3 linked regions of the Mus musculus genome follow. The protein of the gene in region 1 purifies or fractionates together with the protein of each later gene. This does not show direct contact. Links are inferred from orthologs where the notes say so. Each region holds a gene or a part of one and is shown on either strand. Other genes may lie near its edges.

Region 1 (3,599 bases):
GGGTATCACACTGAAGTAACATTACCAAAGTAATGCTAATTCCTTAAATTAGGAAAAATAAAATAAAACTACTAACCTAGTATAGATGCCATTAAAAGTTTTTCCAGATACATGAAAGAAGCCTTAACTCAGTGCCTCTCAGCATTGACTTATAGCTCAGGGGTAAAGTGCTTGCCTGACAAGTTAATGTTCATACATATGACTTAGGAATGGGTAGATTTATCATCTACTATCATCTGTCTGTAATTGTTGGTCATATAATTCTTACTGTGATCTAAAACCAATGTTTTATATGACATCCAAAGACAGCTAAAGACTTATTCTTACTAATAAGAACATCATACTCTTATTAACAACCCCTTTACAGAGCTGGTAGAAATTATGCTAAACATACTCTCATTTTTGCTTTTTGTTAGAATGTAGAAAGTAAAGGAACGAGAGAGCAGAGGTTGGACCTTCAGAGAAGAGCAGTGGAGACGAGCGATGATGACCTCATCCCGTTTGGAGACCGACCAACAGTCTCTCGATTCGGTGCCATCTCTCGAACATCCAAAACACTGTATCAGGGTGCTGGCCCACTGCAAGCTATAGCACCTCAGGGAGCACCCACAAAATCTATTAACATTTCCGGTAAGAATCCTAGAGTGGTAATTATGATTCTCAATGTAATTCTATCAGTGCTTTTAAGACTTTTTTTTAAAGATTTATTTATTGGTTATATGTAAGTACACTGTAGCTGTCTTCAGACACTCCAGAAGAGGGAGTCAGATCTCATTACAGATGGTTGTGAGCCACCATGTGGTTGCTGGGATTTGAACTCCGGACCTTTGGAAGAGCAGTCGGGTGCTCTTACCCACTGAGCCATCTCACCAGCCTGCTTTTAAGACTCTTAAAGGCAATTATTAAACTTTTCCCTATAAGAAAGCAATTGCACTTCAGGCAATTTTAGGAGTATAAACTAAAATTAACTCTTTCTATATTAAGACTGCTTGAGGGGCTAAGGTGTAAAGCTCAGTTGATAGAGTGTATGCCTAATATATATGAGACCCTGTATTCAATACCCCAAACCACATAAACCAGCTATGGCACATGCCAGTAATCCTAGTACTGGAGAGATGGAGGTAGGGAGATCGGAATGTTCAAGTGCAGCTTTGGGTGCATAGGGATTTCAAGGCTATTCTGGGCTAATGATCCTGTCTCAAGGGGGGGGGTGCTGCTTGTGACTTTTATCTTAAATAACTTCATTATTTATTAAAATAAGATTCTTGGAGTCTGAGGAGGTGACTGGCTGGATAAAGAAGATCTGAGTTTGGATCCCCAGTACCCACATAAAATGTAGGCGTGCGTGCGCGTATGCGTATGTGTTGTGTGTGTAATCCTAGTGCTTTGGGAAGATAATCTGACACCAACCCTCACCCCTACATTCAAACACTCGTGCACACAGTGAAAAGAAAGTATGCAAAACCTGAAGGTTCAATGGGGAAGAAACAAATGCATTGTCATTTTGGCAGACAGCTTTCTGCAGAGACAGATACCGTGTGCCGCTGCCTTCTGGATGATAGTGCCTTAGATGAATCAAACTGGTAAATGACATCATAAACCACAGTAAACTGTTCCTTTACAGATTACAGTGCATATGGAGCTCATGGTGGCTGGGGAGATTCTCCATACTCACCTCATGCAAACATACCTCCTCAGGGACACTTCATTGAGAGGTACAGCCATTCTTGTTCACTTGTTATAAATATCTGAAACATTTAGCTTTCCTTGCTTTGTTTTCTAGTCAGTAGTGATTTCACAAAATAAAACTTTATACAAAATTTACCTAATGGTTTCTTTCTTTTTTACCAAAGGGAGAAAATGTCCATGGCAGAAGTGGCCAGTCATGGAAAACCCCTTCTATCTGCTGAAAGAGAACAATTACGGCTAGAATTGCAGCAGCTGAACCATCAGATCAGCCAGCAGACCCAGCTACGAGGACTAGAGGTACAGACCTACAGATACTTTTTTCTTGTGTCAGGAATTTTGATGTAGAGTACCACTGTGTAGCCCACATGGCTTCAGACTCAGGATCCTCCTGTGTGGCCACATTGGTACTTACATCGAGCTTTCAGTGTTCAGCACTGTGCCCGTTTTGTGCTCTAGTTCTGAAGAGCTCCCAAGAATGTTAAGTTGGATATAATTTTCTTTCATCGTGTATATGTATTTTGTGGGGTGGTATGTGCACATGAATACAGATGTTGGAGGATCTGCCTGGAGCTGGAATTATAGCAGTTGTTGTAGGCCTCCTGACATGTATGCTGAGAACAAAACCCAGGGCATCAACAAGAGCGGTATCTGATCCTAACCATCAAAACACCTCTCCAGTCTCCTTAAATAGTAAGTTCTGAGACACAGTAAAGCAGCACGTAATTTTAAAGCCTTTGCCTAACGTTAGTATAGATATCCCTTCTTCAGAGGATTCAGAACTAAATTTAGTTCTTGGCTAATAGAAAAAGAATATTGTCTGAGAATAAACAGTAGTGGAGGAAAAAGGAAAGAAAGCCTGCCTCAAGAACATTGAGTTTTTATAGAAAAAAATATAGGATTTACATCATGGAAAATAGCAATGAGAAAGAAAGATACACATTTATAATTGATTTCTCTTTGAAATAGGAAAAAAGATTAAATTATTTTTGGTGCTGGAAATATGTCTTACCATTCTTGCAGAGGATACAAGTTTGGTTCCTGTCTTACAACTGCCTATAACTCAAGCTCCTGGGGATCCAGCTCTCCTTCTGGCAGCCATAGGCATCTGCATTTCTGTTTAATGTGTACATCGCAACATTCACACACGCCATCTCTGTCTCTGTCTCTGTCTCTCTCTCTCGAAAATAAAACACATCTTTTAAAACTCACTCTCCCTTAAAAATAAAATACATCTTTTAAAATTAAAACCATGTTTCTCAAGTGCTATTAAGACAAAATGTGTTTATAGTTGGGTTATTTTTACTGCAAACTTGTGGCTAGTTTAGTGGTAAAATACTTTGGGTAAAGTGTTTTCTATGTGGCATGAGGTGCGCTGAATTATGTGTGTGCTTGGCTTTGTGCACTAGGCTGTTAGTAACCGGCTGGTGTTACAGAGGGAGGTGAACACCCTGGCAAGCCAGCCACAGCCCCCTCAGCTGCCTCCAAAATGGCCTGGAATGATCTCAAGTGAGCAGCTCAGCTTGGAACTGCATCAGGTGGAAAGAGAAATTGGGAAGAGGACCCGGGAATTGAGTATGGTGAGTGCTGAAGGTGGGGAAGGTGGAATGAACTCTGTGACTCTAGAGCTGATTCCAGGTACCTTGAGGAATAAGTAATATTTAGGGTGATTCTAATAAAGATGAGTTGTCATCTGGTGGTATTATTATTTTAGGTTTGTCCTTTGTCAAAGACTTTGGGGAAAACAAGGGAATTAATTAGAAATTTTAAAGTTTCTGTTTAATGTACTCATTAGGGAAGCAGATGGGATGGTTGCTCTTTTGGACTCTGTAATATTAAGATATGTTTACACAATAAAATGTTACTTTTCATGGTCTTTTATAGAAGAGATATATAGTCTGTACACTGTTCTC
Region 2 (4,246 bases), on another chromosome or scaffold:
AGTGTAGAGATCAGAAAACTACTATGGGAATCCCATTTTGCCTTTCATTCTGTTGATCCAGGAGACGGATTCAAAGGGTTGTTTAAACTTGATTAGTTATTGGAATTTCAGCACTTGTTGTAATTTCTATCAGGACAGAACTTGGTTTACAGAATTGATGTCAACAGTCTCATAGTGCAGCTAGAAGATTGCCACTAGCACTTAAGTGTGACCTTAGTAAGTTTTATCAATTCTGACAGTTTCATCCCTGTGAGAAAGGGATAGTTATTTATCTAAAAGGATGTGAGGATGAAACATTCGTAGCACCTGCTGCCTGAGGTATGTTTTCTATTACATAATGTATCAATGGAAAAGATTTAAAATTATAGTGTGTATTGGCACTGGATTGTCTTAGTGGGATTTAAGGTTCCCAACTAATGTCAGAGTTAGCATATAATTACGAAATTAGTTTCCTCCCTTCACACATAATACCCAATGTACTATAAAACATTTCCTCTTGAGCACATTTGGGGAGCTGGAGACAGGGTTTTTTCTTATGAAATCCCTGCGGTCCTGGAACTTGCTCTGTAGACCTGGTTAGCCTTGAACTCTGCCTCCTAAGTGTTCAGATTAAAGGCATGCGCCACCACCCCAGGCTCTGGAGCACATTTTACTAACACCGCTGACCAGATACCGACAGATCAATTTATCGCGTTGATTCTAGAAAGCGTTTCCACAAACACTGTTTTAGAGGATGGCCGAGCGTGCAGTTGTGCAGTCAGGACTTAACAGCTCTTAAAGCATGGTTGCAATGACCGGAAAAGGCGCGCAACCCAATTAGTTCAACTCCTCTTTTGGATTCCTTCTGCCACGCAGATTCAACCCTGGAACTCCGTTCCACATTAAACCGAATTGCCTTGATTCGTTACGAAGGGTGGAGGGACAGCTCTAGAAATCCAACAGTCAGGGACGAGCAGCCGTGCGGTCGCAACCTACCGGAGGCTACTGTGGCACCCCCCACCCCCCGGAAGTTTTTGAGGCTCCAGTTACTAGGTCTGGGAGTCACCTTGACCCTCCCAGAAAGGTGGGGAAAGTCCTGGCCGGAGACAGAATGAGTGAAACCAAAGACAGAGAACACTTTCGTGAGCAGAAGACGCCCTCACGTTTTCCTGTTCTCAGAGGTATCTAAAGACCGAGAGTTTAAGGGTGACAAGAGCAGGTGGCAGAACTCCGCCCCGTACTCGCTTCCCCACCTTCAGCGAGCACGCTGCACACTTTCCTTGAGATCCCGCCTCTCAGGCGCGCGCGAAGAGTTGCTGCGCAGTGCACGCTGGGAGTTGAAGTTCAGGAGTAGACAGCCATCCCGGGCTAATCAGTTGTGGCCTACAGGCCCCATGGTGCCGTGCGGCGCAGGCCGCTCCCGGATGTGTGCTTGGCGCCGGAAGAGAAGGCGGCCCCCCTCTCTCGGCCCGGCCATCTTGTGGGAAGAGCTGAAGCAGGCGCTTTTGGCTCGGCGCGGTCCGCTGCAATCCGTGGAGGAACGCGCCGCCGAGCCACCATCATGCCTGGGCACCTACAGGAAGGCTTCGGCTGCGTGGTCACCAACCGATTCGACCAGCTATTTGACGACGAATCGGACCCTTTCGAGGTACTGAAGGCAGCAGAGAACAAGAAAAAAGAAGCCGGCGGGGGCGGCGTTGGGGGCCCCGGGGCCAAGAGCGCGGCTCAGGCCGCGGCCCAGACCAACTCCAACGCGGCGGGCAAACAGTTGCGTAAAGAGTCCCAGAAAGACCGCAAGAACCCGCTGCCCCCCAGCGTCGGCGTGGCCGACAAAAAGGAGGAGACGCAGCCGCCGGTGGCGCTTAAGAAAGAAGGTAAAGCCGGGCGAGGCGGTGGGGAGCCCGGGCTGGCGGGCAGGACGGGGGCGTGCGCCGCCGCTTGCTCGTGCAGGCGGCGGGGCCGCAGAGCCCTCGGAGCCCCTTCACGGTGCGGGGAACGTGGCTGGTCCCAAGTCCACGCCGCTCTCTCGGTCGCTTGCTCGCTCGCAGGCTCGGCGGGAGCCTTCCTTCCCGCCTCGGGCGGACGGAGCGTGCTCCGAGAGGGCGGCCCGGGCGTTCCCGCCGATTCCTGCCGGGCGCTAGCCTCCTGGCTCTAGGCGCTCGGGAAGCAGCGCGGGCATTGCTTCCTGCCCGGCGGGCTCCTGGCTGCCGCTGCCTGCTGTGGGCTCCTGCCCTGCCATCTTGTCCCACAATGGCGCGGACCCTCAAGGAAAGGCCCGGGCTCAGAGTTTCCACTTGGGCTGCGTCTCCGTTTGGGGGTCCCTGTTAGAGTGGAGGGAGGGAGGAGTTGCTGTTTGGGTCCCACGTGTGTGTTTTGTGTTGTGCCCTTTCGCTCTTACGTTAGAAGAAGTTCCTGTAACTTACTGGCGAGAACTAAAGTGTTGGAGAGGAGAAGAATTTAGCCCCACTCATTTTAGAGGGAGTTCCGAATAAAAAACTGGTCATTAGTGGAACCCATCTCATGTCTCCATCTCTTCTTCCAACTAACTCCCTGGAGCCCCCAGGTCATAGGGCTTTGCTTGTTCTGGGCCTCGTGGGCGAAATGAGTGCCCAGCCTGTCATGTCCCGGCAGCAGAACTCAGGCTGCAGCTTTTCCTCCGCACGTGCGTAAAGCGTGGTCGGGTCTTCATTGGCGGCTAATGGTCTCTTCAAGGGCACTAGAAGTTTCATAGTTGTTTTGATTTTAGCATTCTTCTCCATTACTGGCTTATTGTGGATGAAAAGGCAAAGCAATTAGGGGCTAAAAAAGTGAAAAATCAATAGCGAGTACATATAGAATAACCTGTGAATCTTTAAAATTGGTATTATGTTAAAGTGCCTCTCAATGCCACGTGCTCATGAAAGGAATTGTTTCTCATTAGATTGTGTTAGGTTTGAAGTTTTTTGGGGGTGGTGGTGTCTTTCAATGAAGGCTTAGAGTAAAACATCCAGTTCCTAGTAGATTTATAAAAGGGAAGAGTTCTATTAATATATTTGGAAGCATAGTCTGGAGTGTTAGAAAACATCACTTGGGCAGAAGTACTGAGCGGATTAAGCTTCTTGACATTACATAGTTGAATAAGACATTTAATTTCTGTGTTAGGGACACTAGATAGTGTTATTTAAACTACTAAAATTTACCTCCTTTATGACTGTAATTCACAGAAGTACATGAATAAGTTGAGTAAATAAAACACATCACATAGATGAACTCAAAAAATGGTCAAAACATGAAGCATGATTTTAAATTATTCAATTTTCATCACAAAGCCAATTTATGATCTTGCCTGTAAACTAGCATAAGTCATCAATGGAGGACATTTTTATTTATAGCCAGGATTACGTTTGTCATTTACTTCAGAAAACTTTTTCACAATAGTAGTCAACCTTTTTTTTAGTTACGTCCAAGTCTTCCATGGGTTGTACTGGGTATTGAACTTAGAACCTTGTCCTTGCTGGGGAAAATTTTGCATTACACATCTCAAACCCTTAGATCACTCTTTAAAACCAGAGTTGATTTTAAATAAGGTTATATATACATATGGGGAAATTTTGAATAAAACTTCCAGTTAGTGCTGTGTGGTGGTGGTTGGTAGACTTGTAAACAAAGTACCTATCTGTAAGAGTGGAAACAATTGTTAACCTATGGTGTGTCCTGTGTCTCGGGAACACAATGCTGGAATGTAATGTTTTTCTACATAAATTTTGATGCATTTGTCTATTTGAAGAACTTGAATTGGCAAAATGTCATTAAAAGTAGACCAGGTTTTTTGTGTTTAGCAAAAAAAGAAAAGCAACTCTGGATATTAGTGCAGTTAAGAAACTCATGTATCTGGTAAGTACAGTAAAAGAACCTTGTATGCTTTTTAAAAAATTTTTTTTCAGTAGATGAATTTATATTTTGTGGTAAAAGTGGCCGAACCCAGCATTTTGCAAACTAAGTGAAAGTAGCTCTCACTGAGCTACACTCCCAACCACTTGATGAGTTTAGTAAGTTTTTTTCTGATTATGTAGGCCTCATACTGAATATTGGGTGGGGAAGCAAGCCATTGTTCCTTGGGTGTGTTTAGCTTGGTTATCATTACAAGTTCTGAGCTGGTTCTATAGCTCCACCCCAATACACTATACCTCTGATGAAATTTATGTAAATGCCACGGCATAAGGGCTACATTTAAGGCTTGCCCTGAGAATTTACAGAGACTGAGCTTAAATATTAAGGAATTTCACCT
Region 3 (4,259 bases), on another chromosome or scaffold:
AATAAAAATTTCAAAGTCTTATGAGGAGTACCTGGTGTGATGGTGCAGCCTTTAATCCAACACTCGGGAGGCAGAAACAGGCAGATCTCTAAGGTAAGCTACACAGAAAATAGAAAAATGTAAACCAAATAAATAGCTCCATGTGATTTATTTATTTACATACTTAACTATGCTCCCATCAAAGCACCATTTGGGTCACTTTACAATTCAGTGCTGTTGTCATTTATATATGAAGTTCCTCTCCCTCAAAAGCCTGCATATAGGAGGCCCGGCCCCCAGTCCTTGAGAGTGATAATAGGATTCCAACAGTTTGGAGCTATCCTTGGATTCATCCACTTGCAGATTCGTAATTTGGTGCATCATTAGGAAGTAATGGAAATTAAGGAGGTGCGGCCCAGTGGGGCTAAGTATCTCAGTTGCATGTGCCCTTGGAGACTATTTCTTCTCCCAGCTTCCTCTGCTTCTAGCACCAGGAAGGCAACAACTTTACTCTGTCACTTGTGCCCTGGCACAATGCACTGCTTCACTAATGGTCCAAAAACAATGGAACCAAGTGACCTGGGACTGAAAACTCTGATACACGAGGCAAAAAATCCATCCTTCCTCATTTAAATTCTCCTCTAGGGTATTTATCACAGAAGCAAAAAGTCTAACACAAATGCTTTTAATGTCTGTTTCTCTCCGTGAAATGAACCTCTGTTATTATAAATGCTGTTTGTTCTCTAGAAGGGAAAGGAAGAATGGAGTAGGTGCTTCTGGAACCCAAGGCTATGGTCATTGAGCAAAACCAGAACCAGTTCAGGGTTAAAGCCTTTGCCACAAAGACTGCCAGATAGGGATACATAGTGAGATTCTGTCTCAAAAAATTAAACAAACAAACAAACAAAAATTTGTCACGATATGGGCTAGAGATGAGATAGTTGGGAGCTGGGTAGTTGAAGAGTGGGTATTGTTTTTGCAGAGGATTTGAACTTGAATCTAAATCATTGTGCTTAGTAATCGTGATGCATCAAGCTTTTGTCTTAGACCGACCTACCATAGTAAGTTAATGGTTGCATGACTCGCAATCAGAGAAACCGCATGCATAATGCAGTCTGAATGGCTTTTTCAACTTGGCTACAAATAACAAAACAGCTCTGAAACTTTGAAAAAAAAAAAAGCCTTTTTTCTGGGGGAGGTGGCCTCCTCTAACAACACTTCTCTCATCCTCATTGTTATGGAAAAACAGCCCCTATGAGACTCAGAGCTTAGCACATAAACCTCAGGTGTGGTGCCTGCCATTTTGCTGAAATGCGGAACAAAAAGTCCTTCCCCTTCTGTGTTTCACTCAGGACCTACACTAGTGTACTTCCGGGTTTGCAGAAGGACGCGCTTCCGGGGCCGAGGCCAGCCCTAATTCCCACGCCCAGCTGGCCCCGCCCCGGAAGTAGCGTCTCCCTTGGCCGCTACGGGACGGAAGCTGTGGATGGCGGGGAAAACAGCCCTGCACCGGCGGATGTGTTGGCGCTGTTGCTAGACGACGAGCAGTAACTTCGTCACTTCCTCAGCCCGTGGCCCGCCCAGGACCTTAGCCGAGGCGACTGGAGCGGGCTTGAGCTGAAGAGTTGTCCCCCGCCGGTAGGACTCACCACCAGCCCGGCGGCGGGAGTCGGGGCCACGCCACCTACAGGGAGGAACTCGAGCCGAGGCGGGAAGATGGCTGCAGACAAGCCTGCAGGTGAGGCGCCCGCGCCGCGACCCAGGGGCTGACACACTGCGCGCGGGGACGGCAGGGCCCGCGTGGGGGACCCGAGGGCCACTTGACTTCGCTTGGGTACTTGTGCCCTTCACTCTTCTCAGCTGTCTCTACTGTGAGTCCAGTGGATTTTCTGCTGTGACACATCTTGATTCTACTGCACCCCATCTTGATTGCACTGCATTTGCCTTGCTCTCCAAGTTAATTCTGGCGCAGGAAGCTTGAATTTGTCACGCCGCTGTCCAGACGCTTTAAGGGAAAGTCTATCCGAGCACGCACGGTTGCCGTAAGGCCCCCCCAGGCTCAGCCACTGAAAAAGTTCCCTCTGGTCAGCGTGTCCAGTGGAGTCATTCTGAAAACTGTCTAAAGAGGCGTGACGTTTCACTGTGTCTCCTGCCTGCTCTCACTTACCTTGTTCCTCATCTGATTTTTCCCGAGCTCCTCGAGATTCCTTTTTAAAAGTCTTAATTATGTGTGTGAGTGCAGGTGCCTGCCGAGACTAGAAGAGGACATTGCGTCTACTGGAGCTGGAGTTACACAGTTGTGGGCCACCACTTGTGGGTGCTGGGAACCCAGTCTTGGTCCTCGGCAAGAGCAGCGAGTGCTGTTAACCGCTGAGCCATCACCTTTCCAGCCCCAAGATTAAGTTCTTTTTTTTTTTAAGTTATTTATTTATTTATTCATTATATGTATGTACACTGTAGCTGTTTTTCAGACACCCCAGAAGAGGGCATCAGATCTCATTAAGGATGGTTGTGAGCCACCATGTGGTTGCTGGGATTTTGAACTCAGGACCTACGGAAGTGTAGTCAGTGCTCTTAACCGCTGAGTTATCTCTCCAGTCCCAAGATAAAGTTCTTAATTTCTGTGGTTTTCTGTGGTACTCCATCAGGAATTTTTCCCATTAGGGAATTATGAGAGCCCATTTATTACCTGGAAAGTCTGCTATATTTCTTTGAAGAAAGTAATGTTTAGAGAGTGGGGCGGAATTGATTGGTTGATTGATTGATTGATTGATTGAGGCAGGGTCTCACTATGTATGTAGCCTTGGCTGTCCTGGAGCTCGCTATATAGACCAGGCTATTCTCAAACTCACTAGACATAAAGCCTCCTGAGTGCTAAATTAAAGTTGTGTGCCATTATACCCACTGCCATAGAATTTTAGCTAGGTGATCAGAGAAAATCTATTGTGAGGTGATTCCTTTTTTAAAGTTATTTTTAACTTTGGGTGTATGCACGTGAGGACAAATGCCTGAAGATGCTGTCCGAGGAGTTGGGTCACGCAGAGCTGGAGTTACAGGTAGTTGTGGGTGCTGGGAATCAAACTCAGGCCCTCTGAAGAGCAGTGTGTGCTTTTAATCACTGAGCACCAAGGTGATTTGCATGTCTTGGCTTTCAAGGATCAAATCCAATCATCAGGGCGCAAGTATCTTTACCCACCGAGCCCCTGCTGATCCAGCTCCTGCTGGGATAGTATTGAGCACAGATCTGAATAAAGTGAAGGGGTGATCCTGTTGGTGTGGGATGCAAGAAGGGTGCCAATTGCCTGCCCGGGTCTAGACGGGACCGGGACTGTCCTTGTTAATCAAAACAGTGCTGCTTCTGGAATCATTTCCCGGGAAGCGTCTCACCAGATCCAGGACTGCCCGGCTTGAGTTGCACCTCAGTCACGTGGCGTTCCTTCACTGCTTGCTTCCTTCCTTCACAAAGACACTGTGCAGGCATCCTTCAGATGATGAAGTGAGTGTAAGACAGCCTGCCTCTGAGGACCTGCACTCTGGACCTCTGCTGGGTTAAGTGGCATGGTTCTGGCTGTTGGGTCCTCGTAGTTGCTCTCTTACACTTTTCTTTTTGTTTTGTTTTGTTTTCTTTTCTTTTTTTTTTTTTTAGGTTTTTTTTCGAGACAAGATTTCTCTGTGTTGCCCCTGTCTGTCCTTGAACTCCCTCTGTAGACCAGGTTGGCCTCAAAAGCAGGAAATCCACCTGCCTCTGCCTCTGCCTCTACCTCAGAAGGCTGGCATCAAAGCGTGTGCTGACCCAGCTGCCAGCACCACTACCACCCGAGTAGTACTTTATCAGCACTTTACTCAGTGGGTAAAGGTGTTTTCTTTCAAGCCTGACACCTGAGTCCATCCCCAGGACTCATGCAGAGAAAACTGCCTTCTCCAGGTTGTCTCTGACACACGCACACGCAAGTAAACAGCACCAGCCAGTGTTTCTTATGGTAGTGGTGAAAGAGGCAGAAGAGACATGTTAAACTTATTTGGAAAGTGCCAGCCCAGGGTCCAGGAAGTGAAGGGGAGACACAGTGTATTCCATCCCTGCTCTTGATCCACCATGGGCTCTGAGAAGCCGTGGCAATCACTTCCTGTGGGAGTTTTTTTAAGGGGCCTCACCATGGCCCCCTCTGGAAAAACAGCCTCTGGAAGCAGTTTTTGAAAGTAGCACACGGGGAGAGGATTTGTCTGTGTTGCTTCCTCCTGCTTTCTTCTTCCGGTTGTTCAAGGGCATCTAAAAGGGAGGA

Evidence for each region. The genes of interacting proteins can lie anywhere in the genome.
Region 2: the proteins of Rc3h1 (region 1) and Serbp1 purify together in Homo sapiens (affinity purification with mass spectrometry, with the first as the bait; 3 studies listed by BioGRID). This does not show direct contact. The link is inferred for Mus musculus from reciprocal best matches to the Homo sapiens genes RC3H1 and SERBP1.
Region 3: the proteins of Rc3h1 (region 1) and Cnot10 purify together in Homo sapiens (affinity purification with mass spectrometry, with the first as the bait; 3 studies listed by BioGRID). This does not show direct contact. The link is inferred for Mus musculus from reciprocal best matches to the Homo sapiens genes RC3H1 and CNOT10.

Annotation. Positions count from the first base shown.
Region 1 is NC_000067.6:160,961,855-160,965,453, forward strand, and holds part of Rc3h1 (roquin-1), read left to right. Parts: intron 1-416; coding exon 417-630; intron 631-1,624; coding exon 1,625-1,715; intron 1,716-1,853; coding exon 1,854-1,986; intron 1,987-3,095; coding exon 3,096-3,266; intron 3,267-3,599. UniProt on the Homo sapiens protein: Post-transcriptional repressor of mRNAs containing a conserved stem loop motif, called constitutive decay element (CDE), which is often located in the 3'-UTR, as in HMGXB3, ICOS, IER3, NFKBID, NFKBIZ, PPP1R10, TNF, TNFRSF4 and in many more mRNAs.
Region 2 is NC_000072.6:67,265,557-67,269,802, forward strand, and holds the start of Serbp1 (plasminogen activator inhibitor 1 RNA-binding protein), read left to right. Parts: upstream 1-1,422; 5' UTR 1,423-1,540; coding exon 1,541-1,853; intron 1,854-4,246. UniProt on the Homo sapiens protein: Ribosome-binding protein that promotes ribosome hibernation, a process during which ribosomes are stabilized in an inactive state and preserved from proteasomal degradation.
Region 3 is NC_000075.6:114,637,377-114,641,635, reverse strand, and holds the start of Cnot10 (CCR4-NOT transcription complex subunit 10), read left to right. Parts: upstream 1-1,435; 5' UTR 1,436-1,695; coding exon 1,696-1,717; intron 1,718-3,626; exon of another isoform or gene 3,627-4,246; intron 4,247-4,259. UniProt on the Homo sapiens protein: Component of the CCR4-NOT complex which is one of the major cellular mRNA deadenylases and is linked to various cellular processes including bulk mRNA degradation, miRNA-mediated repression, translational repression during translational initiation and general transcription regulation.